3 linked regions of the Drosophila melanogaster genome follow. The protein of the gene in region 1 purifies or fractionates together with the protein of each later gene. This does not show direct contact. Each region holds a gene or a part of one and is shown in the gene's direction. Other genes may lie near its edges.

Evidence for each region.
Region 2: the proteins of sbr (region 1) and Orc3 purify together in Drosophila melanogaster (affinity purification with western blotting; one study listed by BioGRID). This does not show direct contact.
Region 3: the proteins of sbr (region 1) and Nup62 purify together in Drosophila melanogaster (affinity purification with western blotting, with the first as the bait; one study listed by BioGRID). This does not show direct contact.

The regions. Positions count from the first base shown.
Region 1 is NC_004354.4:10,838,294-10,848,842, reverse strand, and holds the start of sbr (small bristles), read left to right. Parts: upstream 1-1,750; 5' UTR 1,751-2,254; coding exon 2,255-2,351; intron 2,352-2,415; coding exon 2,416-2,576; intron 2,577-2,643; coding exon 2,644-2,736; intron 2,737-3,761; exon of another isoform or gene 3,762-3,923; coding exon of another isoform or gene 3,924-5,738; exon of another isoform or gene 5,739-6,153; coding exon of another isoform or gene 6,154-6,597; exon of another isoform or gene 6,598-6,638; intron 6,639-8,947; exon of another isoform or gene 8,948-9,189; coding exon of another isoform or gene 9,190-9,330; intron 9,331-9,387; coding exon of another isoform or gene 9,388-9,456; exon of another isoform or gene 9,457-9,613; intron 9,614-10,549. Other genes in the region: Pgls (6-phosphogluconolactonase), read right to left, coding at 362-478, 598-1,073, 1,205-1,343; CG32669 (uncharacterized protein), read left to right, coding at 3,924-5,738; CG15209 (uncharacterized protein), read right to left, coding at 6,154-6,597; CG15210 (uncharacterized protein), read right to left, coding at 9,190-9,330, 9,388-9,456. UniProt on the Drosophila melanogaster protein: Mediates the export of the majority of mRNAs from the nucleus to the cytoplasm. In ovarian follicle cells, plays a role in transposable element silencing regulation by enabling the nuclear export of flamenco (flam) transcripts and subsequent piRNA biogenesis.
Region 2 is NT_033778.4:13,198,613-13,210,680, reverse strand, and holds Orc3 (origin recognition complex subunit 3), read left to right. Parts: upstream 1-4,133; 5' UTR 4,134-4,172; coding exon of another isoform or gene 4,173-4,300; intron 4,301-4,356; coding exon of another isoform or gene 4,357-4,501; intron 4,502-4,557; coding exon of another isoform or gene 4,558-4,683; intron 4,684-4,755; coding exon of another isoform or gene 4,756-4,905; intron 4,906-4,964; coding exon of another isoform or gene 4,965-5,205; intron 5,206-5,280; coding exon of another isoform or gene 5,281-5,291; 5' UTR 5,292-5,472; coding exon 5,473-5,499; intron 5,500-5,562; coding exon 5,563-6,366; intron 6,367-6,425; coding exon 6,426-7,663; intron 7,664-7,728; coding exon 7,729-7,825; 3' UTR 7,826-7,953; downstream 7,954-12,068. Other genes in the region: CG30058 (uncharacterized protein), read left to right, coding at 1-52; CG34312 (uncharacterized protein), read left to right, coding at 114-222, 274-425, 484-619, 723-796; FLASH (FLICE-associated huge protein), read right to left, coding at 886-2,428, 2,488-3,030, 3,085-3,275, 3,332-3,589; CG34315 (uncharacterized protein), read left to right, coding at 4,173-4,300, 4,357-4,501, 4,558-4,683, 4,756-4,905, 4,965-5,205, 5,281-5,291; ValRS (Valyl-tRNA synthetase), read right to left, coding at 8,087-8,589, 8,654-9,683, 9,775-9,792, 9,857-11,119, 11,178-11,345, 11,497-11,682.
Region 3 is NT_033778.4:16,342,559-16,352,127, forward strand, and holds Nup62 (nucleoporin 62kD), read left to right. Parts: upstream 1-1,818; 5' UTR 1,819-2,022; coding exon 2,023-3,207; 3' UTR 3,208-3,270; downstream 3,271-9,569. Other genes in the region: CG7997 (uncharacterized protein), read right to left, coding at 1-96, 165-212, 448-477, 537-628; wcd (wicked), read right to left, coding at 3,317-4,837; CG15710 (uncharacterized protein), read right to left, coding at 5,111-5,908. UniProt on the Drosophila melanogaster protein: Essential component of the nuclear pore complex. The N-terminal is probably involved in nucleocytoplasmic transport.

The DNA.
Region 1 (10,549 bases):
GCACAATTGCTGCTGAATTTTCATAATTTTTCTTTTATTTTAACAATACGAAGCGTTTGTTGTGCTCGCGAGTGCCGTCATACTGGGTGCGCCATTTGTTGTGTTACCGAGTTCGGCCACACTGCGTAAATATCGATATTTTTCATGTTGCCGATAGCTTTTTTAAACCAGATTTGCATTTTACAAACATTTTCTAAACATTAAATAAATATATAAAGAAATTCAAAAATAATTGTAAAATCACAATATTTGGAGTGTTTATTTATTTTCTCCAACCTTAATAGCTCAACAAATTAAACGCTCTCGAAAAGATTATCAAGGTAATTATTATTTACAAGATGCGATAGTTAACTAAGGAATGTCATTTTAAGGTTTCAATTTCTTTTCCAGCACCCGCGTCCACAATCAATGTCAACTGCCCTTTGGTCGGATTCACCCACGCAGCGGGAAACTTCTTGTCCAGATCGACAAACACACTCTAAAAAATATAATAACAACAAAAATAAACCTTACAAATGAAGTTTTTGAATTGTGGTTAAAAATATCAGATTTCTTGCTCATATTCTTTTCCATCTTATCAAGCTAAAGAGACCTCACCTTGACGACACTGGCTTTTGCGGCGCCCGTAACCACGAAGGCGACATTCCGTGCCTTATTGATCAGCGGCAGGGTGAAAGTGATCCGCTCGGGAGGCGGCTTGGGCGAGTTCCGGATGGGGATAACCAGGCGCTTGGTCTCCTGCAGGGTGGCTGGCTGCTCGGGAAAGAGGGAGCAGGTGTGGCCATCGGGTCCCATGCCAAGCAGCAGCAGATCGAAGCGATCGACTTGACTTTTGACCTTCGCCTCGTAATCTGCGGCGCAGGCGTCCAGCGGTTGGCTGGTATCGGCGCGGACGAACTGGGATTCCTGGATGCAGGGCAATTGGGTTAGCCACTCGGCCCTGTAGGCACCATAGGTGGAATCGCTGTCATCCAGGCGAACATACCGCTCGTCACAGAAGAAAAACACCCATTTGGCCGTTTTTAAGTTGCACGATTTCAGGGCTTTCGTTAGCAACTGGACGAGGGAACCACCTGTAAGCGAAACAAGACACTTGACTTTGGGAGCACAAGTTTAAAGATCGCACCTGGCAAGGTCACCCCTCAAGTTTGGCTTATCACAAGCCAACCCACTTGACCTGCATGACCTGTGCGTTGATCCTTACCCGAAAGTCCCACGCTGAACTTATCATGTTTGGCCAGCGCCTCCTGGGAGCAGCGCTGGAGAAGATCGCCCAGGGCCTGGACAAGTTGCTCCTCCGAAGCGGACGGGATTACTTTTAGCGCACCCTTTTTCTCCGACATATTGCTTGATCTGATAATAAAACTCGACTCGACTTCGATTTGTCAGTAATCACCATTCCCTCTCTCAACTATCGATTACCAATTTATGAAATACATTGCACCGTTTGCGACAAAATGAAAGTAAGTAAATCTTATACGAAAACATTTCACTACCTCTATTCGTAAAATAACAACTTATTTGATATTGAGCAAAAAAGGAGTGTGTACGTGTGTGCTACAACTATATAATATTTAAAGTAAGAATGAGGTAACTCTCTTCAAAACAGTCCAATAAAATAATATTGCATTCTAAAGTTTAACTGCAACAAAACAAAAAATAGCCAATAATCTTTAGATTTATCGCGGTTGTTCTGCGCTAGAGTGTCATCACTGATTACGACCTGTGCGATAGTTGGCCCGCCATCATCGATAGACCTGTCAGAAATTAAGAAAACAATATCAACATCAAGCGAATATACTTCGCTCGCTACATATTTCTAGTTAGTTTTCGTAACTTTTTCGCTTTGGTGGCAATTAAATCAAATTTCCTCGAAGAATAACTTGTAAAAAGGTCGCAAACATCCGTCCAGTTTCTGCCAACCATCGGCCACTGGCTATCGAAAGAAGATCGCTAGTGAATTAAATTTCACAAAATTGCGTTGTACTTTGGCCGTGGAAATTTGCCAAAAAACAGCAGCTACTTTGCTGCTATATTAGCAAATAGGTTCAGGAAGTCGAGAAAAATTTTTCCAGAAGTTGGCAGCAGTTTGTGTGAATGCAAAAAATACATCGCACATAGTTTTTTGCCCTCAAGACAGTTTTCTCAGTAATAACAACAGCACCCACACAAACACACAACACCACTCAGCTAAAAACGTGCTGAAATTCGCATATCTTTTTGTTGCATACGTTTTTGAGTGAATATTAGTAAGATGCCCAAACGCGGCGGTGGCAGTAGCCAGCGGTACAACAACAACGTTGGAAATGGCGGCGGACGTTACAACGCTCCCGAGGATTTCGATGATTTTGGTCAGTACACGGGAGTGCAAGAAAATGAACCCTCCAGTAACCTAAATATAATGTATTCCTATAGATGTGGAGGATCGCCAGCGACGCAAGGATCGAAACAAGCGGCGCGTCAGCTTTAAGCCCTCCCAATGTCTACATAACAAAAAGGACATCAAGCTGCGACCCGAAGATTTGCGTCGATGGGACGAGGATGATGACATGAGCGACATGACCACGGCCGTTAAGGTGCCCACCAACCCCACATGTTATCCCTATGCACATTTCTAATCTAATGTATAATTAATTCCAACAGGATAGACCCACCTCCCGACGTCGGGGATCGCCCATTCCGCGCGGCAAGTTCGGCAAACTGATGCCCAACAGCTTTGGCTGGTACCAAGTCACGGTGAGTTTGGACTACCATGTCATATAGATATCATAGCCGCAATGGCCCAGACCAAAATCATGTGATTTAATAGTAGTTTTATTACTAAGCTAAAGAAGCAAAAGCATTCAGTCCTCCAGCACCTGTTAGATTTATAACGTTCGCCATTATACAAATTAATCGACTGTTCTACTGGATGGCTCTTCTTATGCGAAGTACATATATGTTAAATGTAGTTTTAAGTATTTAGATTACTAACGTCACATAAAACTTCCAGAAGTTTGCTCCAGTGCTCTACTAATTTCCCGCCCCTACATAGAACTACAAACCCCAGACTGGTCCATATAGATACCAGATTTACGACAGCAGTCATAGAACTATTTTTGGTCTCCAAGAACATCATGTGATTCGTCTGATGGCTTTTTTTTTTTGTTATTGGCAAAAGATCGCGTTGAGGGAGCAAAGTATCCGGCAAGAATCGCATAAGTTACAGCGAAATGTTGAGACTTATTTGTTTATTTGTACACTGCTTCCAAAGCTCCAATGCCGACTTGCCGACTGGGCTCTTTGTGTTTATTAATTAATTTCCCTCGTAAAAATCGTAAAGCAAACAAGCCAAAGTTGGGCCGGGGGGATACCAGCTCTACACAGCTAACGACAATCGGGTACTACAATTACAATTGCAATCCGACGAGCGGGCAAATAAATATTTATGGATGGCTAAACACAGTCGTCCACAGTACCAGCCACAAGTGTTTGTCGGCACGAGCTAAAAGTGCAATGAAGTCGAGCCTTTGGTGGTTTGACAGTTGCCATGACCCTCACCTAAATGGTTTCCCATTTTAAGGGCTTGCGGGCCTGCGGTTGGGTTATCCTTCGCCTGGTTGTCACCCTATCCAGCCGCACGTGGTGCAACACAACAGGTCGCTATCTCTCGACGGGGTCGTAAATGCCATAGTAAAATGCCCAATGCTGACTCTCCACCAACAAAAGCTTGCGGTTTCATTCCGTTTGGGCCTTTATTTCATCGACGGCCGGCAGACGGTGAAGACGTGTTCCAACGTCCGACGCCCCATAGAATATATCGCTTGAATCTCAAGAGGCCCGATTAGGGGCAACTTATCAGTTTGGAGTGATTAGATGTGCGACTAGGGTTCCGTCGGGAAAATCAGCCTAACACGTGCCCCACTTAAAACCCGGCATCTGCAATGGCTACTTTGGGCGCCTGGGACTACACGATCCTGGCGGTGGTGCTGATCATCTCCGTTGCGATTGGCATCTACTACCGTTTCGTGGGCGGCAAGCAGAGCACCACCACCGAATATCTTCTGGCGGATCGTTCCATGAACGTGGCGCCTGTGGCCTTTAGCCTGATGGCCAGTTTCATGTCGGCCGTCACCATATTGGGCGTATCCATGGAGAACTACCAGTACGGTACAATGTTCGTCGTGATCAATCTGTCGTATGTGTTGTCCACGCCGGTGGCCGCCTACCTCATCATTCCGGTCTTCTATCGCCTAAAGACGGCCAGTGTGTACGAGTATCTGGAACTGCGGTTTGGCTATGCCACCCGATTGGCCGCCTCGCTGAGCTTCTCGCTCCAGATGGTCCTATACATGGGCATTGTGGTCTATGCGCCGGCTCTGGCCCTGGAAGCTGTCACTGGACTGAGCCAGGTCTTCTCCATCGTAATTGTTGGAGTCGTGTGCACGTTCTATGCGACGCTCGGCGGAATGAAGGCCGTACTCATCACGGACATCTATCAGTCGCTCCTCATGTTCGCCGCTGTCTTCAGTGTAATCATCTGTGCCTGGGTGAAGGCGGGCAGCTTGGAGGTGATATGGCGCGTGGCGCAGGAAAACGGACGCATCAATCTGACCAACTTCAGTGTGGATCCAACGGAACGTCACACTTGGTTCACCCAGATTTTAGGCGGATGTGCCACCTATTTGGCCATCTATGGTGTGAATCAAACGCAGGTCCAGCGCCTGATGGCGGTGAAGAGTTTGAGTGCCGCTCGAGCGGCCCTGTGGTGGTGCCTGCCCATTCTGTGCCTGCTTAGTCTGAGCACCTGTTTCTCCGGTCTGTGCATCTACTGGTACTACCGCGACTGTGACCCGCTGCTGGAGGGTAGAGTCAACTCGCGCGATCAAGTGATGCCGCTCTTTGTCGTGGACACGATGGGCGAATACACCGGTTTGGCTGGCCTCTTCGTTTCGGGAATCTTTTGCGCCAGCCTCTCCACGATTAGTTCGATAATCAGCTCGCTGGCAGCCGTCACCCTGGAGGATTACCTCAAGCCCTTGGTCAGCTGCTGTGCCAAACGCACGCTCACCGACCGTCAGACCTTGTGGTACTCCAAGCTGTTGTCCCTATTCTTCGGAGCCCTCTGCATTGGCATGGCCTTCATGGCGGGATCAATTGGCGGACTACTGCAGGCGGCACTGTCAATCTTCGGCATCATTGGAGGCCCTCTGCTGGGCCTCTTCACGCTGGGCATGTATGTGACCAAGGCGAATGAAAAGGGAGCCATTGGTGGGCTGCTCATATCGCTGGCGTTCTGCTTTTGGATCGGTTTCGGACAACCGAAGCCACCGCTGGTCAGCTTGGATATGTCCACGGCTGGATGTCCGGTGGACAGGAGCTTTGCCCGCGACATTTTCCTCAAGACTGTGATAGCGGTGGCCGAGGAAGAGCATTACTTTTACCTGTACAGGATTAGCTACATGTGGTACGCTGCTTTGGGCTTCCTGATAACCTTCTTTGGCGGATGGCTGTTGTCCTGGCTGTTTGCCCTGCTGAAATGGGACAACAATCGACGCATCTACCAGGATGCGGACTGCACGCTAATCAAGCACGATCTCTTCGTGCCGCCGATAGCCAAACGTTTGCAACGGCGACAAATGCCGCTCCTGGTGGTCACCGGCACCAGTTCGGAGATTGGCGGCATCACGACAGAGAGCGCTACGGCGCCGCCGCGGCTGGACGAGATCGAGTGGGAGAAACACAAGGCAGTGGCGTAACTGAACACATCACCTTAGTAGTTTTTTCTTTTGTTTTTTTTTTGTAGCGCCGTTTTGACCTTAGTTACTCTCCATTAGCTATCACTGCAAGAAATAATAACTTTGCTGTACAATAATACGGTTTAGTTTATTTGCATTTCTATACGAGTCTAAAAATGAGGCAAACTATTATTTGAAAGAATTGCTGCTGGAATTACAATGCTCCTTATAATGTTCTAAAGAAAGTCAGGTCGGAGAATATCATATAGTTGCCATAGTATGTATATCTGCATGGGTCATCCCACTTCGTTCTCCGTGGAGCGTACTACTAGCCTTTTTCTCTTGTCACACAAAATATATATATATATATATATGTATATATATATTAAGTGAACTTTGGCTTTAAATAAACGAGCTTACTCATTAAGCAACTAAATTAACGCTCATCGATGGCCTGATTGGGCTGCTCCTCCGGTCCTTTGGCATTGTAAACATTGCGATTCTGGGACAGATGCCATAGGGCTAGCAGGCGGGCCAGCTCCGTGTAGGTTAGCTTGCGCAGATCACGTCGATCGGCCAGCTTAACTCCGGCGGCCTCTAGCTCCTCCACCAATGTGACGGCATCGTATTCATCCTCCGGATTCTGCTCATTGCGTGGCGCAATTTTTCCGACGAACTCCGACTCTGGCACCGCTTCGCTCTTCACCATGCGCTGCATCTGCTGCACATGCTGCTGTTTATGCTGACGTTGCTGACCCAATGGCTCGTCGACATCTTTTAGCTCCTGTTCGGGATTCATGGGCAGCGAATTGGCCAGGCTGACCATGCCGAGGATCACCAGGAAGATGACCGGAATATTGTTGCACCCAATGGGTTTCATGTTTACGTCCGACTGCTAGTAGCTTTGCTGTGGCACTGCTGCCCGCCTGTCGCATGTCGATCGATCGTGGCCTGGACTCGACTCTCGGGGTGCGCTCCAATTTCTATCTGCCTTCCAACCCGCTCGTACGCTCGCTCGGCTCCCTATCGCTCACTCGAACGCCCCGTGTGGCAGTGCTGGCTGGCGAAGACATTCGCTTTCTTCTTCCAGCATTTGGCTATTATTTTTTTTGGTTACTTTCGAATGCCATGGATTTTGGCAAACAATGGTGCCATTAAACTGCAAGTAAGGCGGGGATATAGATTCTTTTACTTCTAAAACTATATAAATTTGTAATAGATGAGCAGTGAGTGTTTTTAAAATGTATATTTTATTGTATGTTATGCAAAAAATGTTCCATTTAATTCAATACGCTGGAAACGAAGCGCAGCACTGTCGTTTGGGGGGCTGCTTTTGATTGAAAAGTCAGTGTGTAGGGTCGGTTAAATTATTTTATCTGCATATGCAGCACATACACTATACTATACACTATACAACATCGACCCCTGGTACATATGTTATTTAATTGTCTGGCTGGTGCCTTTTGTATTTTGTATTTTGTATGTAGTAGATCCCGCATTTCGTCGTTTTTTATTGTGTATTTTTGTTGGCTACGTTTTTTTTTTATTTTTTCTGTCCGCCTCCAATTCAATTTATCTGCGCAGTTTGTGCTCACTCGGTTCGCCGTCTTCTATTTTCTGCATGTTGGTTTGGCCTAATCTTATCAGCTCTTATTCATAGCCAATTGAACGAGTTGTAATGGTCGAGAGTTTTTAATAATTTCTAGTAGATATGGGTTAATGGACGACGCGCCCCGCGTTAATCAGTCGCAATGTTTCCTTGTGTACCGAACCAATCGGTCAGGCAATCTTAGGTCTAAGAACTTTGTTTGATTGGTCAAAATGTGAATGATATTATTCTACATTTACATGTTCATATTTCACACAAACAATTATTGCTCTATTTGCAACAATTCTAATGGAATACAGTTGAAAAGCAACTAGAGATACCTCGTCTAGAGTTTTAAATTCTTATCGGTAATTGGGCTTATTTAATTACTCACTGCTACAATTACTTTGCCTGCCTTCAGGCGTTGCTAAAAGCTTTTTTTTATAAACAAATTGCAATAGCATAGTCTAACTTGTAGTGCATGCCGAATTAGTGTCAACAAAGAAATTATTGTTAAATATATTGCGCTATTATGTGTTGAATTATAACGATTTGACAAATACACGTAACGACGTTCTTGAGTGACAATGGAAATTGAAAAAAAGTCGAGATTGTCAAGTTGCATGTAACGTGCGACGAAGTAAGTATTGATAAATGTAAATTCTAAATGGAAAATCGCAATTGTCAGTCTTATTTGCATTTTCCTAATGGTTTCACATCTGGCATGCGAGCAACCTACATACATATGTATGTGCTATGCTATATATACATACATATGTATATAAAGTGTTTATAAAATAAATGTACGTGCGAATGGAATGGCCAAAACATTCCACTGACTGATCGTTGTTAGCTTTTATTAGACTGCAAACACGTGCGCCAGCCCGCTTTGGTTAGTTAGTCATTTTTGGTTGAGAATGAAAAGAAGAAAAAAAAAAAACCCAGAACTGTCAGCAGCGTTGATAACCGTGTTGTGGGCCAAACACAACTGACTGACTCACTGTATAGGATAGCTCCATAGCCAGCTATGGGAGGTACCCTATCAAGGGCACCCAATAGCAGCAACCAATCCACTTGACTCTCTTTTGTGTGCATCTCCTGATGTCATCGACCAATAATGCGTTGGATCGTTTCCCTTCTTATCGCTAGCCAGTTGAACTGGCAGATTCCGCCGATTCCAACCTGCGCTCCTGCGGATTCCCACCTTGCCAATCTCATATCCCACATTTATACAGTAGATATGGGATGAGCGAATCTCGTTGAGTACTAGTTTCTACTCAGAACTATCACCGATCACAGAACAGTTAAGAACTTCTATTTCTAACTATGATTTCGTTTCTCAATACATATTTTGAAACAAATACAAGTTTGATGCAACAATTGTTAAACATTATTCATAAAAATTGCATTGAACAGCGAATATTATAATCAAAAGCAAAAGCAGCACTTATTTAATGATATTTGTAGATAGTTAAATAGTTATAGATGCATAGCTTTAAGGTTGTTCTATATGAAATTATCCCATTGAATGCAAAAAATGCAAAAGTGATTGATGATTTCCTGAATCGAAGCCACTTTATAAGACTGTATTTGATTTGAATGAAAGCCCGAGTTTGCCTTTTAATTTAAAGCCAAGTGCAATATTTAGCGATTCAACAATTTATTACGATATTGAAATTCAGGCGCATAACAATTAATAATTACTCGTTAACAGCTTAACTTGATTCATATTCATATTCACATTGTTCGTATGTACATTATCTTTTTATTATTTATTCACACACTCACAACAGACTCACGCACACACTCACGCACACATTGGCATTGAAATGGTTTCAAAAAAAAAGGTTTTGGTTCTTTTCACGTCAGTTAATCTGATGGCAGCTAATCCTGCTCCTGCTCCTCGCTGGTGGTGGTCACCGTCTTCTCCTGCCGCGTGGTGCTAGTGGTGGTGCGTGTCAATGTGAAGACACCGGTGGTGCCCACCTCATCCAGCGGCTGGGCAATGATTGTTGATGTGGTGCTCTGGAAACGAGGTGTTAGACATTTGATACTACATATATTATGAGGAGGGTGTCGTACGCCATTCTTGGTCTCCTCGGGACTCCACGAGCGTTTGTCATCCAAATCCTTTGAGCAACAGCCTCCCATTCTTTGGTTTTGTGCGTATATAGAAATACGTATTCGTTGTATATATGGTATAAATGGTTTGGTTCGGAATGCCTTTATTTTTCGTTCTATATTAATGTATATCGGGGGCCAGTAACTTGTTGCTGCTTCATCGGCGCACGTCTGTCAGCGAATGCCGGTGTTCGATGTGGTGTTCACTTGTTAGCCAAACGAACGAACCGAAAGCCCAACCCAACCCAACCCAACCCAAGCTGCGCCGCCAGCTGTGACTGCGACTGCGACGCCGGAGTTGGGTTGTCATAGCTATATAGCTCCATATCAATTCTAGAAATATGTCTCAGCCAGCGAGCCAGCCAGCCAGCCAGTACTCGCATTCGGTGTATATTGTATTGTGTTGAATACAATAAGTATATGTATAGCTCCATGTATGCCTGTGAGCTGTACAAACAAACCATTCACATTCCAAACAACCAACCAGCCAGCCACCCACCTCAATGCCCCCGTTCGAAACTCTATGTTCCCGAGAATGTCAAATCCGATCTGATTCCCGCTTTGAAAACAGTCACAGTCATCATCTTTATTTTCAAATGGGAACCACTGGCCTTGTCGCCTTAACGGTTCCATTTGCCCATCGAGCAGGTGCAGCGTGTCAACTCAAGGCTGCCATTGTTGTCTGTGGCCTATTTGGTGGCACTATTCAAAGTTGCAACGTGACAACTAATGTCAAAATCCTTCCAAGAGGATTGTGTGCTATGATCTTCCTTTGGTTCATTTAAAAAAACCAAATGGGCCATTAACAGCTTAAATTGGGCACCCTTATATAGAGCTTTTAACTAATTAGCAGAATTAGTCCCAAAAAAAATATAAATAAATACCTTTGTAGTTAGGACCAAACTTTATTTAAAGATCCTATGACACATCAACTTTGCGGGGAAATTCAAATACACAATGGTTGTAAATTAATAAAAACACAACAATTTGTCATTTTTGAATGCGATATCACGAGGGGGTTTATGTTGTTCGTATGTTTTAGTCAATGGAAAGTTAGGGTTAACCATATCGAGGCAACCAATAGACGCAAAAGAGCCAAAATATACATATAATCGTATACAGC
Region 2 (12,068 bases), on another chromosome or scaffold:
GATCGTTGTCTTCTCGTGGTACAAGAAGCTTGGAGGCTCAGCGGACATATAGATCACTCAGACGACAACATTACCCATACGAAAATGATCCCGAGACACCAAGTTAAATTAGAATGAAGTGTACCATTAGGAAGTGCTGTTGCTGGGAGCTAAGATGGGGAGCCTTGATTATCGCCCTTATAGATATGATTGTGACGGCGGCAGTTGTTTTGGAAACTAAGTGTATGTGTTTTAATATGATCTCAATCGATTTGAATATAAAGTGTCGCACAGATCTAGCCTATTATGAGGACTGGTGGATTGATCATGATATGGGAACGTTTGAGGTCAGCTACACTTCCACCTACTACGTTTGGATCATCACACTTGTCATCCACTTTGCCCACCTAGTGTTTTGTGTCTCAGTTATTGGCTCTGTTTGGGTGGTAAGTATTCATTTCTAGTTAGAAGCAATCTATTAATTAAGACTCTCGTCTTTTCCAGAAATCCAAAAAACTGGTCATTGGCTATCTAATAACAGGCGCAATTCGCATTGTTTATGATCTTATGTTTTTCATTTATGTTTGCGTCGCAATTGGCCCTGTGATTTTGACCTTATTCCTTATCATCGGCGGATTTGGTAAAGCTTGCAAAATATTTGATATATTTTCACACTATCCAGAATTAAGAATAGTTTGCTTATTTTAAGTACCTTATTATTAATAATAATTCAAAACCCACAGGTGTAGCCATTTACTTTTGGATCGTTGCCTACTCATGGTTCAAGATGATCGAAAGTCCTGATCGCGTGAATTAACACCTATTCACCCAATCATTGGGTGCAGCAATGTAATATATATAAATAAATTCGAAGTGGACACTTCAAATCGATTACACAATTTTATTTCAAATTGGTTTGTCCGCAGCAGTCGTAGGTATTTCCATAGGTGTTGGCTTTCGTCGGCGACCCCGTCGTTTCACTCTTAAAATGACCTCGTCCTTTATCTGTTCGTACTGGTAGTCTGTGTGGCCCAGGGAGCAGCGTTTGGTCACAGTTGAGCTCTCGTCCTGCAGACTGCAGGCACCCAAAGTTTCGTCGATGGTAACATCATGGGCTGGCACCTGCGGCGAACTATCCATGTTGACCTTTCTCTTCTTCACTGGGGTCTTCTCCGTGGCCGTCTTCTTAGGCGTCGCCATCGGCGACACAGTCTTCGATTTCGTTTGGGATCTTAGTGGATCAGCCTGTTTTGGAGTCTGGGTGAGTATTGTGATGAGGCTTTTTGGCGTCTGCGGCGCTCTATTCGACGTTGAGGTCACCACAGTTTCGTCCGGCGACTGCTGGTGCAATTGCTCTAGTGCCATCTCAATGGCATCTTCTGCGATCCGCAGTTTCGGATATGTGGATTCTGCGGTGCTCGCTGCATCCTGCTCCTTCTTCAGCATGTCAATGGCAGTTTCCAGGATAACCTCGTCATGTTCATCGCTGTGATCCAGTTTTGTTGAATCGGGCTTGGCGTATAATATAGTAGCAGACTTTATTGGAGTTTCGTCCGAGGTGGTAAAAATAGTTGGATCTTTCATCTCTGCGCAAATCTTTTGGTCCTGTGTGGCTAGGTTCTCTTGATTTAAAGCGGAATCTGTGACAGCTGCTGGCGCTTCACCATGGTTGTCGACCTTTACAGCAAAATGGTCGATATTCGCCATCTTGGGCAACCGAATATCCTCAATAATCCTTACTCCCAAGTCGGACTCGACCACGGAGTTAACTTGATCCATCGGTTCTCGGATCTCTGCTTCATCATTCTCATCATGCTGAGAACACACATCAGCTTGAGACGTCGTATTCTTTGATAATACTATGTTGTCGTTGCTTTCTTCTTTGCTAGGAGTTTCAACAGCAGTTTCAACTGCAAAAGGCTCTTTTTTGTCTAACTTTGCCTGTGTCTCTTCAGATTCTTTTCCATCCTTGAATTTGTCCAGGGGTTGCTCATCAGCTGGGCAATCTTCAGCTAAAATGTTTTTACATTTTTCAAGTACTACAACTTTGGGAATAGGCTCCTTATTTAAAAGTTGGTGGCCAGAGTCTTCTGTACGATCCTGTAAGATTACAGGATCTAACTTGATCTCATTTTTAGAAAAATCCGCCGATTCTGGGTTAATTAAGCTTAACCCCGGAATAATCTCATGTTTTGGAATACAAGGTTCAGCAATTAAACCATTTGTCGGTTGAGTAATATCCTTCGTCTCTACTTTTGATTCCTTTGAGGAATTTGCATTGGTTTCTAAAGCAGCATCCCTTCGGTTGGAAACGACTTTTTCAGCCGGTTGAGATTCAGTTACGAGTTTGACGGTCACGGGGACTGGGCTCTTGCTGCGTTGGTCATTTGTTTCATCGTCAGTAAGTGTGATGATGGCATTTGCTTTTTCTCTTGGCAATTGTATCTTGCTACAAAAATCAGATGGTGCTATCAACAAATGTAACTTATGTCCCTCTGCTTTACTGACCTGGGCGATGCGGATTGGCTTCGCCGTTTGGCGTGCCGGGAACTGCTTTCTTGATTCCTGTGATGATCTCGCCGGGAATTATGTTTTGGACTCCGGCTGCGATGTGGATCTGGACGACGAGCCTGTGCAGTAGATTTCCGATCGGTGGTCTTTGAGTGTTCCGGCCTGGGAGACTTGCTTCTTTGGACCGATTTCTTGGCGTCTTCTCTTGTCCTAGATTTCCAAGCATCATCCTTTGAGGATGACTTCTTGTCATCATCTTTATTGGTCGCCATCTTATTATCCTCCTTGGATTTTACGCCTCTTTCAACATCTTTTGATACGACTTTCGTTGTGTCATCTTTTTTGGTCATCATCTTCCTAGCATCATCCTTAGCGGCGTCCTTTGCAGCCGTTTTGAACGGATTTCTATTCGTTTCCGGATATTTCCTGACATCGATTGGTGTAGATTGAAATTCTTTCGGACGCTTACTTTCGGGTTCCCTTGCACCTGGTACGTCAAACGCCCGTGCTCGTTTTCGTCGGAAGCATACATCGTCCTTTCTGTTGAACAATGTGTTGTTTGTTAAGAAGCAGGGAGTCAATATGCTAACTTACTCGTTTCGCAGCTCGGCAATCAGTGTCTCTTTTCTCTTTACCTCCGCCTTAGCTGTGTCCAGTAGATTCTGTAGATTAACCTCCATGGTTTTTATCTTCTTGCCAAGTGCCTTATTCTCAACCTTTAGCGCTTCAATTTCGGCCAGTGCCTTTTCGTATTTGGCTTCCCATGCCTGTAGCTCCTTGGTATTCTGTGAGATGGTAAATGGGTAACTCTGCTGAAAGGACGTATTCCTGCACAACTTACACGATCTTCGGCCTTCTGAAAGTCGTCCAAATCATCGTAGATGTCCAGTTCAAGGGATCTGTCCATTTGGTCAGGCTTCTTTGAACCTGCAGGCTCTATATCGTACAAATCGTGATAGATATCCAAATCCATGGATTTATCCTTAACGTTGGACTTCATCCCGCCCGCGTCCTGGTCTTCCAAATCCATCAAGTCCTCCAGAGCTTCGGGCAGCACCAGTTCTCCGCCAGATTTCGTGGCATATGCAGGCGTTTCCATACCAATCGCTTACGTTTCTTCTTGGCTGCCCTTTAAACAAGGATACATAAAATGAATTGTTAGAGTTACTGTTTTTTAATGGAGCTACTTTATTGATTACCTGTTCAGTCATAAATTGATCAAAATTCGAAACACAAAAGAATTTCAATGTTCTTGATTTTTGTTTCAGGGAATAAAAGTTCCACTAAAGCTCAATGGTCACTGTCCTGAGCATTTCCTCCAAACTGGCGTGCAATTTGTTTCCCTGCCGTGTATTTGTATAAATGTAATTATTATTATTATTCTATTTAATATTGTTAGAAAATCCCGTGTTGCCGCCAATCGATAACAGAAGATGCAGTTGATTATCGGAAGCAACAGCTGACCGGCTGAAAATGTGGCAACCCTGATAGTGGATATCGATATCCAGCAGCAACATTTGGCGCCAAAACGAATATTTTAAAAATTTTATTATGCACTTACGTGTTTTCCCAAGAATATAATTTTAAAATCAATCTAGTTCCCATTTCGTATTACTGTACACTTAAATTCGTTAAAAAAAAACATCACAATACAAACAATAATACTCGAGAAACACTACACAATGGCAGACATTCCGGAAAAAAGTTCTTACTACAAGAAGGAAAGAAGAAAGTTCGCTCTGATCACTTACCTACTAACCGCGATATTCCTGATCCTTGCGCTGTTGCAATGGGCCACTTTCCGCTTTGTGTACGTATGTATTTTCACATTACTTCATCCTCACTGCACTTTTTCTTAATTTTCAGAAATTTTCTAAGGGAATTTTTTACTTCGTACCATTGGTTGAGCTGCCTTTTTTTTGGAATAGGCCTGATACTCCTCGTACTTTTCATATTTTTCGAGGTACTGCGCTTTAATAAAATGGTAAACTGGTTGTTTGCCTTTCTAATTGTAAGTCTACAATGTGAAACATAACCTGGGTGGCAGTATGAACTTATTCTTTCCAGTTTGAATGCATTGTACTGGGGATTGCACCGCTGGTTGCCCGCCACTACAAGTATCAGTTTCTCTTCAGCTTCCTTATATGGACCGTAGCATTGGCGCTTTTTATTGTCTGTGGTTCCTTTCTTCCGGTAAGAAGAGTCCACATGAAAGCCATTTGATTCAAATCTGAAGCTTCACATTTTTATTGTTATCCCCTTAAGCTGGATCTTACTTTGGATGTTGTGGTGCTATTTGTGCTTGCAGTGGTTTCCATTATCGGCGCCATATACTTCGTGATGCTCTACATCGTGGCTAATGTCGCATACTCGTTTATAATCGCCCGTTGCTTTATAGTGATCAGCATCTTGATGGTTAGTACTGAGTCATACATTTTTGAATTAGTTTCTGTCATTTAGTTTCCTCCTTACAGTTTGTCATGTATCACGCGCAGATTATAAACGGTGGAAGGTTCGCCGAGATGCGCACGAAGGACTACTTCCTGGCAGCCATCATACTGTTCCTCGATTTCCTGCTCCTCTATCTTTTCTCATTCCAAGTGGCCCCAAAATGGTCGGATCGTTGCGATGGCGAACGTTCAAAAAACTTGGTGCTGTTCACAGAAACTACGACGAATTCGTATCCACCAAAATGGTGGCGTACGAGCACGAAGGGTATGATTTCTTATTATTAGTTCATGTTAGATGAAATATTCAATTAATTTATACTTTTCACACTTGTTTTCAAAGATACCCCCTAAAGTCGTTAGCCAACACTGCCGCCCGTTTGGCGCCAAACACAACAGCCAGCTGATTTCATTTCGCGTTCCTACCGGTGAAGAAACTTTAATTGGCACAGAGCTGACCTAAACAAATAAATAAATAAACGCAACCCGGCGACTTAAAGACTCCACGACATCGGGCCGCAGTGCAAAGCCAGCGATGGATCCCACCATTTCAGTGTCCAAGGTGAGTGGCTTCGGCTTCCAAACTGGACATAGATGTTTAACTACTTATTTTTGTTGTCTGCAGGGCTGTTTTGTCTACAAAAATGGCGCTACGAGAGCAGGGAAAAAGGCGGCCAGCAAACGGAAGCGTCCTGCCGCAGAATCCAGTAGTCTTCTTGGCAAAGAGGTAGTGCAGCAGCCCTTCTATGAGGAATATCGCAAGGCCTGGAATCAGATAAACGATCACATTGCCGACCTGCAGCACCGCAGCTATGCCCGCACTCTGGAGCAACTGGTGGACTTTGTGGTGGGGCAGGCAGAGCGCGACACCCCGGACGAGGTGCTGCCCACCGCCGCCTTGCTAACGGGCATTAATCAGCCGGATCATCTCAGCCAGTTCACGGCACTTACCCAGCGACTCCATGCCCAACGTGCTGCAATGGTATGTGTGCTGCAGTCCAGGGATTGCGCCACTCTCAAGGCGGCCGTTGAGACATTGGTTTTCGGGCTCGTAGAAGATAATGCAGAAGTGGAGCAAATGGAAGACGAGGACGAGGACGAGGATGGTGCCGAACGGGATCGCAAGCGGCTACGTCGCTCGCAGTGCACCATGAAGCAGTTGAAGTCTTGGTACACGAACAATTTTGACTCGGAACAGAAGCGCCGCCAGCTGGTCGTCATCCTTCCCGACTTTGAGTGCTTTAACGCAAGCGTGCTGCAGGATCTTATTCTAATTTTGAGCGCTCACTGCGGCTCGCTTCCATTCGTCCTGGTCCTGGGAGTGGCCACGGCCATGACAGCTGTCCATGGGACACTACCATACCACGTCAGCAGCAAGATTCGTCTAAGGGTGTTCCAGACTCAAGCTGCTCCCACGGGCCTTAATGAGGTAATATTCCTTAACTCTGTGCTAGTTTATGTACTAATCGGTTTTCTAACAACCTTTAGGTGCTGGATAAAGTTCTGCTGTCGCCCAAGTACGCTTTCCACCTGTCGGGAAAGACATTCAAGTTCCTGACGCACATCTTCCTATACTACGACTTCTCCATCCACGGCTTTATTCAGGGCTTCAAGTACTGCCTGATGGAACACTTCTTTGGTGGGAATGCCTTTGCTCTTTGCACAGACTACAGCAAAGCATTGGGACGCATAAAGCAGCTGACCCACGAGGATATGGAAACCATCAGAAGGCTCCCATCGTTTCGTCCGTACGTCGAGCAGATCAATGATTGCAAACGCATCATAGCCGTGCTCACGGACGATGACTACCTAAAGAAGAAACTGCCGCAGTTGCTGCGCGACTGCCTGCTCCACTTCCTGCTTTTCCGCTGCTCTCTGGAGTTCCTTACAGAGCTGGTTGGTGATTTGCCGCGCTGTCCGCTGGGAAAGCTACGCCGGGAACTGTACGTCAACTGTCTTAATCGTGCGATCATTTCGACGCCGGAGTACAAGGAGTGCCTGCAGATGCTAAGCTTTCTGTCCAAGGACGAATTTGTTGCTAAAGTGAATCGAGCCCTGGAAAGAACCGAACAGTTCCTGGTTGAAGAAATTGCTCCGCTGGAATTGGGCGAGGCCTGCACTGCTGTGCTGAGACCTAAGTTAGAAGCTATACGCCTTGCAGTGGACGAAGTGGTCAAGGCCACCATGGCGACAATTACAACGACATCGCCCAATGAAACCCGCCAGGCGACTGACCATTTGACTCCGGTGGCCTCGCGTCAAGAATTGAAAGATCAGCTCCTACAGCGTAGCAAGGAGGACAAGATGCGGCATCAGCTGAACACGCCCACCACCCAATTCGGACGAGCTCTACAAAAGACTCTGCAGCTTATCGAAACGCAGATTGTACAGGATCATCTCCGTGCGCTGCAGGATGCACCACCTATTCACGAACTTTTTGTGTTCAGCGACATTGCTACCGTGCGGCGAAACATAATTGGTGCTCCGCGGGCTGCACTGCACACTGCCCTGAATAATCCACATTTTTACATGCAGTGCAAGTGCTGCGAGCTACAAGATCAATCACTGCTGGTTGGCACACTGCCCGATCTCTCCGTGGTTTACAAGCTGCACCTGGAGTGCGGTCGCATGATCAACCTTTTCGACTGGCTGCAGGCCTTTCGATCTGTTGTGAGCGACAGCGACCACGAGGAAGTGGCCCAGGAACAAATCGATCCCCAGATCCAGTGAGTAAAAAAATGGATTTCTCTCTGTAATATCATCAATTTCATTTGGTTTTCCTTTCAACCAGGGCCCGATTCACGCGTGCCGTAGCCGAGTTGCAGTTTCTGGGGTACATTAAGATGTCGAAGCGCAAGACGGATCATGCCACTCGATTAACCTGGTAGCTCGCTCGGGCTATGAATAACCAAAATCCCTTAGGTATTTTTATCTTTTCTATTTATTTATATTGGGGCAAATTTCATGTGTGGGACGTTATGAATAAATAAAACATCAATCGATTTGTCTACTCTGTACGAAATGCATTAACTTTGTTTGCGAGTGAAGCGCGTTCTTGTATTTTTTAAGTAAAGCCCAGCAGCTGGCAAGGCAAGCGTACTAAATATCAATTACCAGTCTTCCCGACTAGCGGTTACCACGTTCCCTGTTCACATTAGTTTCAGAGTCTCGATGGCGGCAGCGATGCGTTCGATCTCTGCCCGCGACTCGCAGAGTTTTGTCTCGTTGGCCTCCTGCACCTCGGCGGGAACCTTAGTTGCGTAGTCGGCGGCCTGGATGGCCTGAGTTAGCTTGCCCACCGTCTGCACCAGCTGGTCGCTCTTCTTCTGCAGCTTGGCTATCTCCTTGTCCGCCTCCACGAGTCCCTTGAGCAGCAGGTGCACCTCGCACTGGCCCGTCACGGTGAGGATCGCACAGCCCTGCGGTGCGGGACTGTCAAAGACCACATTGGAGCAGTAGGAGATTGTGGCCAGATCGCTGGCGTAGCGTTTGAGTATTTCACTGGGCACCGAATCCGTGCATACTATATACACCTCGGTTTTAACCTTGTTGGGCAGATTATAGTCGGAACGGGCAGATCGGATGATTCGCGCCGCCTTCTGCACAAATTCAACGTCCGATTCTATCTTTGTGCTGCGCCAGGATGTATTGCCTAGTTATGAGGAAGTTAAATTTATTTGAATTCTATCATCATGAAGAAATCAAATGCGACTTACTGGGATAGCTAGCCACGCAAATGCTAGGAGCGGGATTTGCCCTCGGAAGCCGCTGGTAAAGTTCCTCCGTGATGAAAGGCATGAACGGGGAGAGTAAGCGCAGTCCATAATCTAGACATACGTAGAGCGTGCGCCTTGCGGCGGTCTGCTGCTCCTCGCTGCCGCTCTGGAAGATCGGCTTCAGACACTCCAAATACACGTCGCACAGATCGTAGAGCCAGAATGCGTAGCAGGCGCTGGTCGCTGCAGCAAAGTCGTACGACTCAAAGCCGGTGTTGCAAGCTTCTATGGCAGCTGCCAAGCGTGACAGGATCCAGGCGTCCATCTGGTTGATCGCTGCAGACGCACTTAGCTCCGTGTCAAACTTCTCAGAGCCGGTGAAGTACAGCAGGGCGAACTTGGTGGCGTTCCACAGCTTGTTGCAGAAGAAACGATATCCCAGAACGCGATTGATGTCCAGGTTGATGTCGCGCGCTTGCGTGATATAGGCGCACAGCGCGAATCGAAGTGCATCCGAGCCGCACTCGGGAATTCCCTGCGGATAATCCTGTTTCTGTCCAGCCTTAGCCTTTTCGATCTCCCGAGGATCCAGGTTGGAGCCCACAAGTTGAGCATGCAGTCCCTCGAGCGTAATGCCACGAATAACATCCATAGGATCGATAACATTTCCCAGGGACTTGGACATTTTGCGTCCGTGCGCATCCCTCACCATGGGGTGAAGATAGACCTCCTTAAACGGCAGTTTGCCCAGCAGCTTCTGTCCAAAGAATACCATGCGAGCCACCCAGAAGAAGAGAATGTCGTGACCCGTCTCCAACAGCGATGTGGGATAGAACGTTTGCAGATCCTTAGTTTGGTCTGGCCAGCCAAAAACGGAGAAGGGAAAGATTCCCGAACTGAACCATGTGTCCAGGACATCTTCGTCTTGTTTCAGTACTATCTTGCTGGCGTCCACTCCAAAACGTTCGGCTGCCTTGGTCAGAGCCTCCGCTTCGCTGCGTGCTACAATCCAGTACTGCTCGTCGTCGTTCTAAAAATGAAACAAATAGGAAAATTTTAATTTGTCTAATTTAAAAGTGTTGTCTATAATTTATAGAGTTATGTTTTGGTTTTTTACGCACCACACTTCCATGAGCAGACTAAGATATCCAACGAAATATATTACCCATACAAATTATTATTATCCAAAGTAGATTTACTCACCGATCCAGTTTGAAGAGAAGGGTCGGTGAAGCTGACATGGTATGCCGGAATCCGGTGACCCCACCACAGCTGCCTCGACACGCACCAGTCGCGAATACCGTCCATCCAGTGGTACCACGTCTTGGTGTGATGCTCCGGAATGATCTTTAGTTCTCCGGAGCGCACTGCCTCAGTGGCAGAGGCTGCCATGTCCGAGCAACTAACATACCACTGCGGCTTAATCAGCGGCTCCACCACGTCCTTGGAGCGACTGCAGATGGGCACCACCATCGGGTTGTTCAATGTCTCGCGGTATAGATTCAGGGCCTTAAGCTTCTCCAGGATTTTCTTGCGGCACTCGAACCGCTTCATTCCAGTAAACTCTCCGTAGTCGCCGATTATGTAGCCGTCGTCGTTGAAGATTGTAATGAAGGGCAAATTGCAGCGCTTGCCCACCTCGTAATCGTTGGGATCGTGGGCTGGGGTGATCTTCACAGCACCCGTACCGAAAGCCATGTCCACGAACTCGTCACAGACGATTGGCAGGCGGCGCGTGGAGAACGGATGGACTACGAACTTGCCATGCAGGTGCTTGTACCGATCGTCTTGGGGATGCACAGCCACAGCAGTATCGCCCAGCATAGTCTCGATACGGGTGGTGGCTACAATGATCTCTTCGTCACTGCCTTCCACCTTGTAGGCGAACTTTATTAGAACACCAAATTCCACTTTGTCCTCGTATCCGGGAATGGAGAGGAATGTGCGACCGGGAATCTCCACCTTGTCCACTTCAATGTCCGAAATAGCCGATCGTAGGGTGCACGACCAATTGACCAGTCGGGAGCTACGGTAGATGCTGCCCTCCTCGTGCAATCGGACGAAAGCCTCGGTAACGGCGCGACAGAGCTTGGGGTCCATGGTGAAGGCCACTCGGGTCCAGTCATAGGAGGAGCCCAGGGACTTCAGCTGCTCATAGATGCGACCGCCCTTTTCCCGGCGCCAGTCCCAGATGCGCTCAATGAACTTTTCGCGACCTAGGTCGTGCCGCGATAGCTTCTCGTCGCGCCACAATAGCTTCTCTACCACCACCTGGGTGGCGATGCCGGCGTGGTCGCAACCAGGCACCCATAGAGTGGTTCGTCCCTTCATGCGGTGGTAGCGCGTGATGGCGTCCTCGATGGCGTTGGTCAGGGCGTGACCCAAATGCAGAGAGCCCGTCACGTTTGGTGGTGGAATGATCATCACAAACTTGCCATTGGGATTGGGGGCGTCTATGGATGCGCGCTAAATGTTCAAAGAGTATTAGAAACCAGCATTTAACCAAAACCAAGGATAAACTCACTCCGTACTCGGGCGTGAAGAAGCCCTCCTTCTCCCACCAGCTGTACCACTGTGCTTCCACATACCGTGGACTGTAGGCATCCGGCAAGGCTCCACTCAGATCCTTCTTCTCACCGGGCGCGGTTTGGGCCGTGTACACGGCAGCCTCTTTCACCTCCTTGGTGCGCTTCTGCAAAGTAAAGTAATTCGAGCATTACATATAAGTAGCACTCGCTTTCACCAGTAACAATGGGCAGCAATTACTGCCTCTCACTTGGCCACATAACCTCGATTTGAGATCACAAAATAGGAGGCACTTTTGGGATGGATTTTTCACTAACCTCGGGCTTCTCCTTCTTCTCACCCGCTGCTGGAGCAGCCGCAGCCTTCTTGTCCAGCTTCGCCTGCAGCTTGGCCAGCTTCTCCGCCTTCAGACGCTCCTTTTCCAGTTGCTTGGCCGTCTTGGGAGGATCACCCCCGGCTCCGGCTGGTGCGTTGGCATCGTTCTGCTGTTCAGCCTCGGGCATTTTTCAGTTGATCTCAGGATTAAATCTGGATAGTGCAACTGTAAGTTAAATGACGAAATGGACGAAGTACATTACTCACATGCAGTTAGACTGGAGTCGCAGAAAAACATATGAAAACGTGTGCAGTTTGGGACCAGGGTTGCCAACAGATATTATTATTTTGAATTCCATTTGGCACATAACATTTAATCATTTTTAAAAGGTATAAAAACTGAATTTATGATTTATATTAAGTGTATTTTAAAATTCTTATGTAAGATTAATATTTTGTATACATAAATTCTTTAATATTCATTTATTTTTAAACGGAAAAACAATAGAATTTTATCACCTTTTAAAATATAAGGTGCTTCAAATATTTAGAAATCAATGATAATATATTTTAC
Region 3 (9,569 bases), on another chromosome or scaffold:
TCCAGCCAGCAGTCATCTATGATGACGTACTCGTAGCCAGCATCCGCATATCCTTCAGAAACCAGGAGATCCGCATGTCTTTGGAAAAGTTTTTCACTGAAACAGGTGAAATGAACAAGAAGTAAAGGAACATTTGAGGATCTGAGTTGGGTTTGGGTATTAACCTGATGCACTCATCCGGATACAGTTTACAGTCGGTGATGCAACGGAATCTGTAAGTAAGACATGGGTAATCAAAAATTCAGAGAATCTTTAAATAGACTATAGTTATATCAGTAGTGTTAGTTATATCAGCAATGAAATAAACAAAAGCGTTATTGCAGCGTAGCGTGTAGAGTTCATGCCAAGGCCTAATTTTTACTAACTATTAAAGTTTATTTATTTTAAATGTTAGACGTAATGATAATTCTTTATGATCTAATCTAGTTGCTGGTAAATATTTCTTACCGCTCCCAGGACATCCAGCCCATAGGTGGCCTAAAATCGACAGAATTTCAATTAAGTGGCCTAGAATCCAATCAAAATTTAATACTCACTTTAGTGCCAGGCCATTATCGAGGCCCATGGATAATTGCAGAACCTGCAGCAGAAGAATCCCGCCCAGAAAGACGCCCCACGTTCCGTACATGGCGAGCTAGTGGCACCGACTGAATCCTGGCCTTTGGGCACCCAGGGAATTTATATTCTCCAGCGGGCGGCACTCCAGATAACTCTGTTTGGCAGGGGCACCTGAGGAGCTGGAGGTAGGGGAATGGCACCTGAAGAGCTGACAGAAGGTTAGTGGCTAATTGCTATTGCAGCGGAGTACTCCCATCGACTGATTGGTGTTCGCCGGGTGGCGCAAACAGCGGGCTTTCTCGATTGCAGGAGGAGCCGGAGCCCCTTATCACGCCAAGTTCACAGCGATCACAGGGAGCAAATAGAGAAAATCGAGGAGAGACCGAGAACAGGGGCTTTTGATTCTGATATGCTTTTGTTGTTCAATTCTGGCGCTGCTTGCCAGCTACACTGGTCAACAAAGTTGGGGAAATAGTTGGAAGCATAGTAGACTAGAGCACGGTACTAGTGATGGGAAAACATGTACTAACAAAACATAGGAACTATGGTCTTTTATTAGAAAATTTTGATCTGGTTTTTAAGAATAATTTAAAATTTCTGTTTTTGAGGATCAGATCTCAGATCTTATGAAAATCTTAAAAAGAATCTTATTACAAAAAAAAAAAAAACCGAAGGTCAAAGACAAGCTCTAATTGTTGTACCGCATTACGTTTGTACCTTAGGTAATTTTTCTAATTTTGTGGCTGGCAGCTCTGAAGAGAACCTACACAGGTACGCAGAACGAACCTTCTGATAGGAAGCACACATGTGTTTAGCTGATTTAGCAAAATGCAATTACTGAACTGAGTGCCGCTGCACTTTGGGCTTGTAATTGAATTCTTTTGACCCAAATGTTACCTTATCGCCTTTGCACTTACAGATAGCAAAAGATGACTAATTAAAGCCGGTGTTTTGTTATTGATTTTGTTTGTACGATTGACTACGTTTTCTTTCTGAGTTGGTTTTTTTATTTAAGTTGCGCGGAATGATTTGTTCCATGTACGACTAAAACTGGAGCTAAAACATAGCTCTCGACCAGTGTTGTTTGTCGATTTCGCAAGTTAGTTGATCGCTGGTTAAAAAAACGGACACAGACATAAATATATTTTAAAAGTGCAAAAAGTGATTGCAAACGTTAAAATAATATAAATGTTTTGGTTTTCAGCATGTTTTAGTAACAAAAATGTATCGTCGACTGAGCAAAGTACTTCATTTGTATTGCCAATTCAAAGAAATTTAAAATTTAATTTTGCCGCCCAATCTTCAAACTGCTAAGTGTTTTGGCTTGAAAATAGCTAGCTTGAGCTCAAATTTAGTTGATTTCCAACACCGACAACATTGCGGAACTCCAAGGAGGGGTCACACTGGTTGCTTTTGGCGTGTTTCGTTTGATTTAGATTTATATTATTCGTCTTAAGTTTAAGCATGGTATTCCAGTTGCCAACAACAACCGCCGCCCCGACCGGAGGCGCAACATCGTCGTTTTCCTTCGGCCTCAGCACAGGAACACCAGCCGCAGCACCAGCTTCAGGAGCAGCAACCACGGCTCCCGCCACAAAAACCACATTCTCTTTCGGAACACCGGCACCTACTGCTGGTATCGGTGGCGGAGATGCAGACAACAGCAAGGCGCAGGCTCCACCAGCCTTTGGATTTGGCCTGGGATCCGGGACTGCTTCAGCTCCCCTCACGCTGGGCACTCAAGCCGCCGCAAATCCAGCGTCCACCACTTCTGCGACCGCGACTGGAACCTCTGCTGCTCCTCCCGCCTTCGGAGGCTTTACGGCTCAACCAGCGGCATCTGTGGTGCCAACTATAGCAACCAGTGCACCCAACACCGCAGCTACCACAACTGGATTGCTGGGCGGGTCTGGATTGGGAGCTCCCAAGACCACGGCCGCTGCGTCCACAACTCTGACTGCAGCTCCGTCGGCCATAGCCTCCACGCAGGGAGCTGCACCGGCCCCAACTTTAAGTACTGGTGGTGCTTTTGCCAATCTCACTACCGAAACCAAGACCACAGACTCATCGGCCGTTTCCACGGCATCCCAATTGTCCTACCACCAACTTGAGGAGCATATCAACAAGTGGACTCTCGAGTTCGAGGAACAGGAAAAGGTATTCACCGAACAGGCCACTCAGATCAACGCATGGGACAAACTGCTCATCAGCAACAACGGGAAGATCGTCGAGCTCAACGATGCCGTGAAAAAAGTGAAAACCGATCAGCAAGTGCTGGACCAGGAGCTGGAGTTTATAGCCACGCAGCAAAAAGAGCTTGAGGACAGCCTGGGACCGCTTGAGAAGGAATTCGTTAATCTCCCGAGGGTGGACATGGAACGCAGCCAAACCTACCTGATGGTGGAGAATCTGGACACACAACTGAAGCAGATGTCCGAGGATCTAAAGGAGATAATAGACAACTTGAACGAGGCCAACAAGGGCCAGGACACCACTGATCCCATCATACAGATCGGAAAAATCCTTAATGCCCATATGAATTCGTTGCAGTGGATCGAATCGCAGTCGACGAACATCAGCAAGAAGCTGGAAGACATTGGCAAGATTCAAGACTCCCAGAAACGCGATATTTTCCGAGCTCCTTTCTAAAGATAAGTCCCCTTAATTTGTTAACTTAAATAAAGATGGTTCCATTGTAACCACAGAAAGAGTAATGATTTTATTTAAGAATTTATTGTAAACATCATACTGCCTTCAATTAATAACCCTTGAAGTACTTAAGCCTAAAGAGCGGCACCTGTTTGCCCTTAGTGGCAAAGGCCAGGAAGCTGCTGTGCGGCGAAAAGGCCATGGAGGTCACAAAGCCAACCTTCTCGTTCTGTGCCGGGAAATTGGAGTACACAGTGGCGCTGGGGAAATGGGCCAGCTTAAAAGCATTCGGCGCCTCACTGGAGCACATCGCCAGTAGCTCAGATGAGTGATTGAACTGGAGATCCGTGATGGCAGTCCGTAGGTTCATGAAGCGCTTCTCGGGTTGTGGGGCCTTGGATGCGAAAATGCTCTCGTAGTCGTAGATGTTGACCACGCCCTCTTGACTGCCGGTGGCCAGTAGGCGTTGGTTGGGAGACAGTTGAATGGACTCTCCATGTATACAGCCGTCGTCCATGAAGATGTGCTCGATGAGGTTCTGGCGCAGGTTCAGCACGCTGACATTGGAAGTGGAACCGCAGACGAGGATCCTCTTGGAGTCACTAGACCATGTGAATCCCTTCACTTTGCCCTCCTGCTTGAAGCTGTGCAGCAGCTCATTTGTTTTGGCCGTGAGCAGGTGAATGGCTCCAAACTTGCCAGCAGTGACGATAAATTTGCCACATGGAGACACCTCAAAGCGGTGCATAAATTCCATTGCGCCCGGCAGCTTTAGCTTCGATTCCTTGGCTTCCAGCAAGTCGTAGGAGTAGTAGAATGGTTTCACAGAACCAAAGAACGCCCTTGTGCCGCATGGAGCAATTCTGGAGCACGCCAGCGGGAACTTCTTGAAGCGCATGTTGTGCAACCTTTCGTTCTTTTGCCCATCCACGGCGTAGATGGTGGCTAGGCCATTCATGCCCGCCACTAGAGCAGCAGTACTGGTTGGATGAAACTGAATGCTGGTGGCATTACCCTCGGCATATGTGGCCCTGTTCAGGTCTTTGACCCGTTTAAAATTCAGAGTCTTCTGGGGCAGATCACTGTTCCGGGCTTTACGATCGATAAAGCCAACCGTCCGCAGCAGTTCTTCGTCGGAGGATACGTCCTCGTCGTCCTCATTTTTGACCTTCTTTTCCGCCCACTTGGGTTGGTTAAGCGTGCGCTGGAATCGCGCCGTAAGATACTCCTTGTACGATTTATCCTTGCGCAGGTGGTTCAGTGGACCCGTGTGCTTTGTGGCCTTCTTGACATCGCCCACCTGCAGGTCCTCGTCATCGGAATCCGACCAGGCGGCTTTCCGCTTGTCGCCTGGCTTTGCCTGGCCGGGATTTTCCTCCTGCTCGTCTTCGTCATCGTTCGGCAACTTTTGTCCCACGGACTTGGCTAGATTGGTGAGCAGTCGCTGCCTGTCGCCGAAGAGCACCTTTTCCATGGGCACCTCCACATAGTTGAGCTCCTTGGCCTGCGAGGCCTTTGGAATATAACGTTCCCTTTTGATCTTTGCCGGTTTCTCTTGCTCCTGCTGGCCGTAGAGGGCCTTCAGACTCTGCAGCTCCTCCAAACCGTCGCTGGACTCGTCTGAACTCATCGTGTTCGCTGGAAATGCACGCAAATTCGTTTATTTACGAACTTTTCTTTGGACCGCAAAAAAATATACACGTGCAGCTGGGCGGGAAATCGACTAACGCTTTAAATCAAAAATACCACGCCACGGTGGATTTATCGATAAGTGTGACCACATCGATAGCAGATCGAAATAGATATCGGTGGGATGGGCGCCATAATTTGAAAATTATAAAAAATATTACAATTAAAAAATATATTTATTTAATTTAAAATTAAAATGTGCGAATTTGTATAATCAATTATTAAAACTTTGCACAACTTCTGTAAATGTTACCTCGCTGACCTCGGTGATTTCAATCTCACGCTTTCTTTTGCATTTATCCGGCATCTGGCAAGTTTTCAGATGACGGTGAAGGAAACCCTCATATTTGTACTTTTTCCCACAACGATCACAGATTAATTCGGGCCTTCTCTTCCCTAAGATCTTTTTCTCCTCCTCCTGGGCCTTCAGCCTTACGATACATGCGTCGCACGCGTATCGACGGGTCACTTGGCCAGGCTTAAAGCAGGCCTTGAACTCCGTGCGACAAAAGACGCAATTGAAGGTCTTGGTGATGGTGTACGCCCCTTCGTAGGATTCATCCGTGGACTCGCACGGTATCAGATGGCTCTCCAAATGGGTGCGATACTCCAGATCCGTCCCGAACTTGACATGGCAGGATGCACAGGTGCGATTCATTGATGGGCTTCCATGCAGGAGCCTGTGGCCGATCAGGGCATCCACCGAGGAGAAGATTTTCTTGCAAATGTTGCACTGATGCTGGGACACGTCCGGCACATCCTTCATCATGCGTGCCAAGCGTCTTTGGCAGGCCATCAGATGGACCTTGTAGGCACCGGCCGTGCGAATCACATTAGAGCAAAGCGGACAGTGGAAGCGTTGCGTGTTGTCCTCCAGGAAAACTTTCTCCTCTTTTATCGGCTGCAAACAGGGCGCCACGTACACCTTGGTAACAATACCATTATCCTCCTGAATCGACAGTAGAGTAGCTGGTTCCAGCTCCTCGGAAATCCAGTTGCCAGCACTTGTCATAATCCTTTGTGGGCTCTTGTGTTTCGCCAGTAAGAAGCGTACGAAGAAAGTGAGAAAGTCGCCGGTCATTGTCATTGAAAGATAGAAAGTAATACTCGATACTCGATACTCGGAAACTGTCAGGGCTGGAAAAGAAAGAAAGCGTATACGCGATAGGTATGCCTCAAAAATGTAAACTTTTTAAATTTGTCCAGGCAATGAAATTCGAATCCAACGCTTTCCTCCAAAAAAAAATTAAACGTTTTATTCGGATTACCATAAATGAGGTGGTAATATATTTAGCCATCATTTAGTTTAACCAATTAAGCAAACAATCTTCATGCATTTTTACTGTCTAAAGCAGAAGTATACATACTATATATATTCGGTTTAATTTCGTTTTTAAATGAAGTAGGTCAGCTTCACAGTTTCGAACGCAGCAAATAAATTATGTTTTATGAACCATATTAAAGGCTTCTCCATGATTTCGTCTGTGTTAGGAATTATTTTTAAAATATCATCTTAGAGACTTAAATATAAATTTAATTTAAATTAATTTCTAAGGAAGATAGCTATAGTTCAATGGCAAGCCTGGGCAGAATAAGATCTATACTCGTAAAACTGATTGTTTAGTTTGGTCTTTGAACTGTAAAATGCAGGAACATGTCTTTCGAGTGCCTCTAATCCCCGCCCAACTTCTGGCATTGTGGTAAGCTCCGGATCCCTGCTTTATGACACGCGTAATGCGAGTCAAAATATGCAATTAAACAAAAACTTCTTGACTGGAAAAATATTTGCATAACTTGGGCAAACAAATGTCGGAGCACGTCGTCCTCGTCACCAGTCGACAATGTCGAGTTGTTGTTGAACTTGTCATTACACACGCACAACCAGGAGAGCACCAGTCTCATCCACCCACTAACCACCCAACCACCCACTAATTTACCCATCCACTGGGGGTGGTGCTCTCGCCAAAGTGTGGATTAATAGCTGGGGTGGTGCTGCTGCTGCCAGAAATCAGCGCTCGTAAAATTTACGTAAAATTCATTAAGCGCAACAAAAGACGCTGACTGCGTGGAGCAAAAGGGGGCAGGGGCAGGTTGGAAGGGAAAGGGGGGGTGGCGCCTGCAATCGCTTAGAGACAAAGCCCTGCATAGTTGATAAGACGCGTCCTTCGCGGGGGGAGGACGTTGCTTGTAGGAGCAGTGGGTGTTTAGTTGGGTGCCTGGGTGGGTGACGGCTTGGCATTTGTGGTGCCCTCGAGTGTCTCCTGCCAAGTCAGGCGTCAAGCCGCACGGAGAGCAACCAATTTTTGTCATTTCAAAGGGTCCAGCATTATTGTTGCGCCATCCAGGCGGCGATACACTAGCAAATAATTTTCTATAAATATTAAACATACTTATCATTAATTTTAAGCAGCGCGAAGTTGGGTTGTTGGTATTTCCTCAAAAGATTGTGAATTATTTAAAAAGCATACACTATTCTTGAATGTATTATATGCTTTTTAAACCATTTAGGCTATTCTTTTTAGTTATTTTGAAGTAAGCTATCTGAAATATGAATATTTTTCATTTCAGAATCTGTTGATTTCAGATTAACAGAATATGGGATTCTTTTATATCTTTCTACTAATCCTTTACGCAGAAGCTTTTTTAATCGTTTGCCTTAAGTAATAATAGCTAATCAAGTTCCAAGGATTGAAGTTTGTCTAAGAATCGCTGCATTTTCTGGGAGTGTTCCCCGCCCATTTTCCGCCCACTTCCAATATCCTTGAGTTCCTGTGCAGCGAGGCGCTGCGATTCAGCGCTCCTTAAGTGGCCTGACATTGTGGCAGATCCTTTGCAGTCGCACTCCCAACTCCCCGCCATGCCAGTATCCCCCATTCCGCGCCCTGCATCTCGCATCCTGCGCTGCAACTCCTGCCGACTGACAGATTAGCGTGTTGACATTAAGTTTGTCCTTTGGCAGTGTAGGCTAACATATGGCCTTTAGTTGGCTTTAAGTATCGGGCGCATTTAGCTCCAGCTCCAGCTGCACATGCAAATGCTGATAGAGCCACGCATTACAGCATGTTGCGGTCGCTCCTTGTGGGCGTGGCGCCTGGCCACCTGCCCCTGTGCTCCATCGCTCCACCTATGTGCTATCTTTCGAATCACGGATGATGGCTCCTGTGGCATGTAATGAGTTTTCCATTGCCCCGCACACGGTGCATCAGGTTACCCGTACCTACATCACCGCTGATTTGTGCGGTTGATAATTGGGCGCGCGGTAATGTTGGTAATTAACGTCTTTCTGTCCACCGATATCGGCATATTGACGGCCATTGTCAAGGGCGCGTTTTATTTGCAGGACAAAATCCTGTCCAACGCAACGTTCGTCGTTCAAACGGAATTAAGCCAAAGGGAAAATCTGGCGACAAAAAGCGTAAAACTTTGTTGGCGATACATTAGCGAACAATGCATATTGACATTGTATTGACAGTGCGCGACATGGCAATAGCACTTAAACACCATGCCATTTCGAATCGCTTTAATTGGTTAAATAAATGTATGACTGTCGTGTGCTATAGAACTTTTTTGACATTTCTATATCAATGAAGCTGGAAATCTTTATCTTTAAATTATTTTAAAAAGCCAGGAATAAATAATCAGCCTTATAAATTATTCTAAGCGTTTGACTTTAAAAGGTAGTATCTCTTCTAATAAAATCTCCTATGTAGGATAAGTTTTAGTAACTTTTTCAACGCAAACTCGCGTCTGGTTGAAATGGAAATTTCGGTGAAAAACTATTGAAAGCTAGCCGAAAATGGTCAGGAAAATAAAAGGCTTGTGGCCAACGCTTTCATGTCGACCATAAAAATAGCAGACGCATAAAAAATTAATAAGCGATGGTCAGTCGACGAGGACGACGCATTGCCGTTGTTCTTGTCCCTGGCTTCAAAAAAAAAAAACCCCTTGTATCCTGCAAACGCCCCTCAATCCTTGCCCCCTTTACTCCCCCGCCACCCCTTCACTATATTGTCCAGTGTGGCAGACATCATTAATGCATAATTCAAGCGTTTGGCAGTTTTGTGCTCGATGCTTTCAATATTCAATTTGAATGCCGCCCAAAGCGATTCGAAGCGGTTTTGTGTCTGCAGCATTGTTGTCCTTTTGGCGTTGTTGTTGTTGTTGTTGTTTTTATCTGCCCCATTTTGTTTTCGTCTTCGCTTTCATGCTCGCTTATTTACTTGACCGCCCCCCCATTTTCCACGCCCGCTTTTCCGCTTTTCCATCAGCGTATACTACCTGCTGCATTATTCAGACGCCTCGACTCGGAATCGAACAAAATGCATGGTAAACAATTTCCATTGCAAAGGGGGCGGGGTTCGAAGGGGGGCGGAGACAATGGCCGCTTAGTCTCGTCATCTTGCTGTTGTTTTTCCGAACGGCTTTTCCCCACTTTCCCGCCCCCACCAATCGTAGGTCTTACAGCAACTGGCAAGCAATTGGAATTGGAATTTATTTAGCTCAAAAACAAAGGAAAATAATAAGTGCCTTACAATTCACTAATTGCCACCTTTATTTTGTAATTTCAAGTAGTATTCATAAAAATACAAAGCATATTGGGAAAGAAATATATTGAAAATACAAATATAATTTTTTCAAGTGGTATTATTTATGAATGTGCCATATTTATTCAA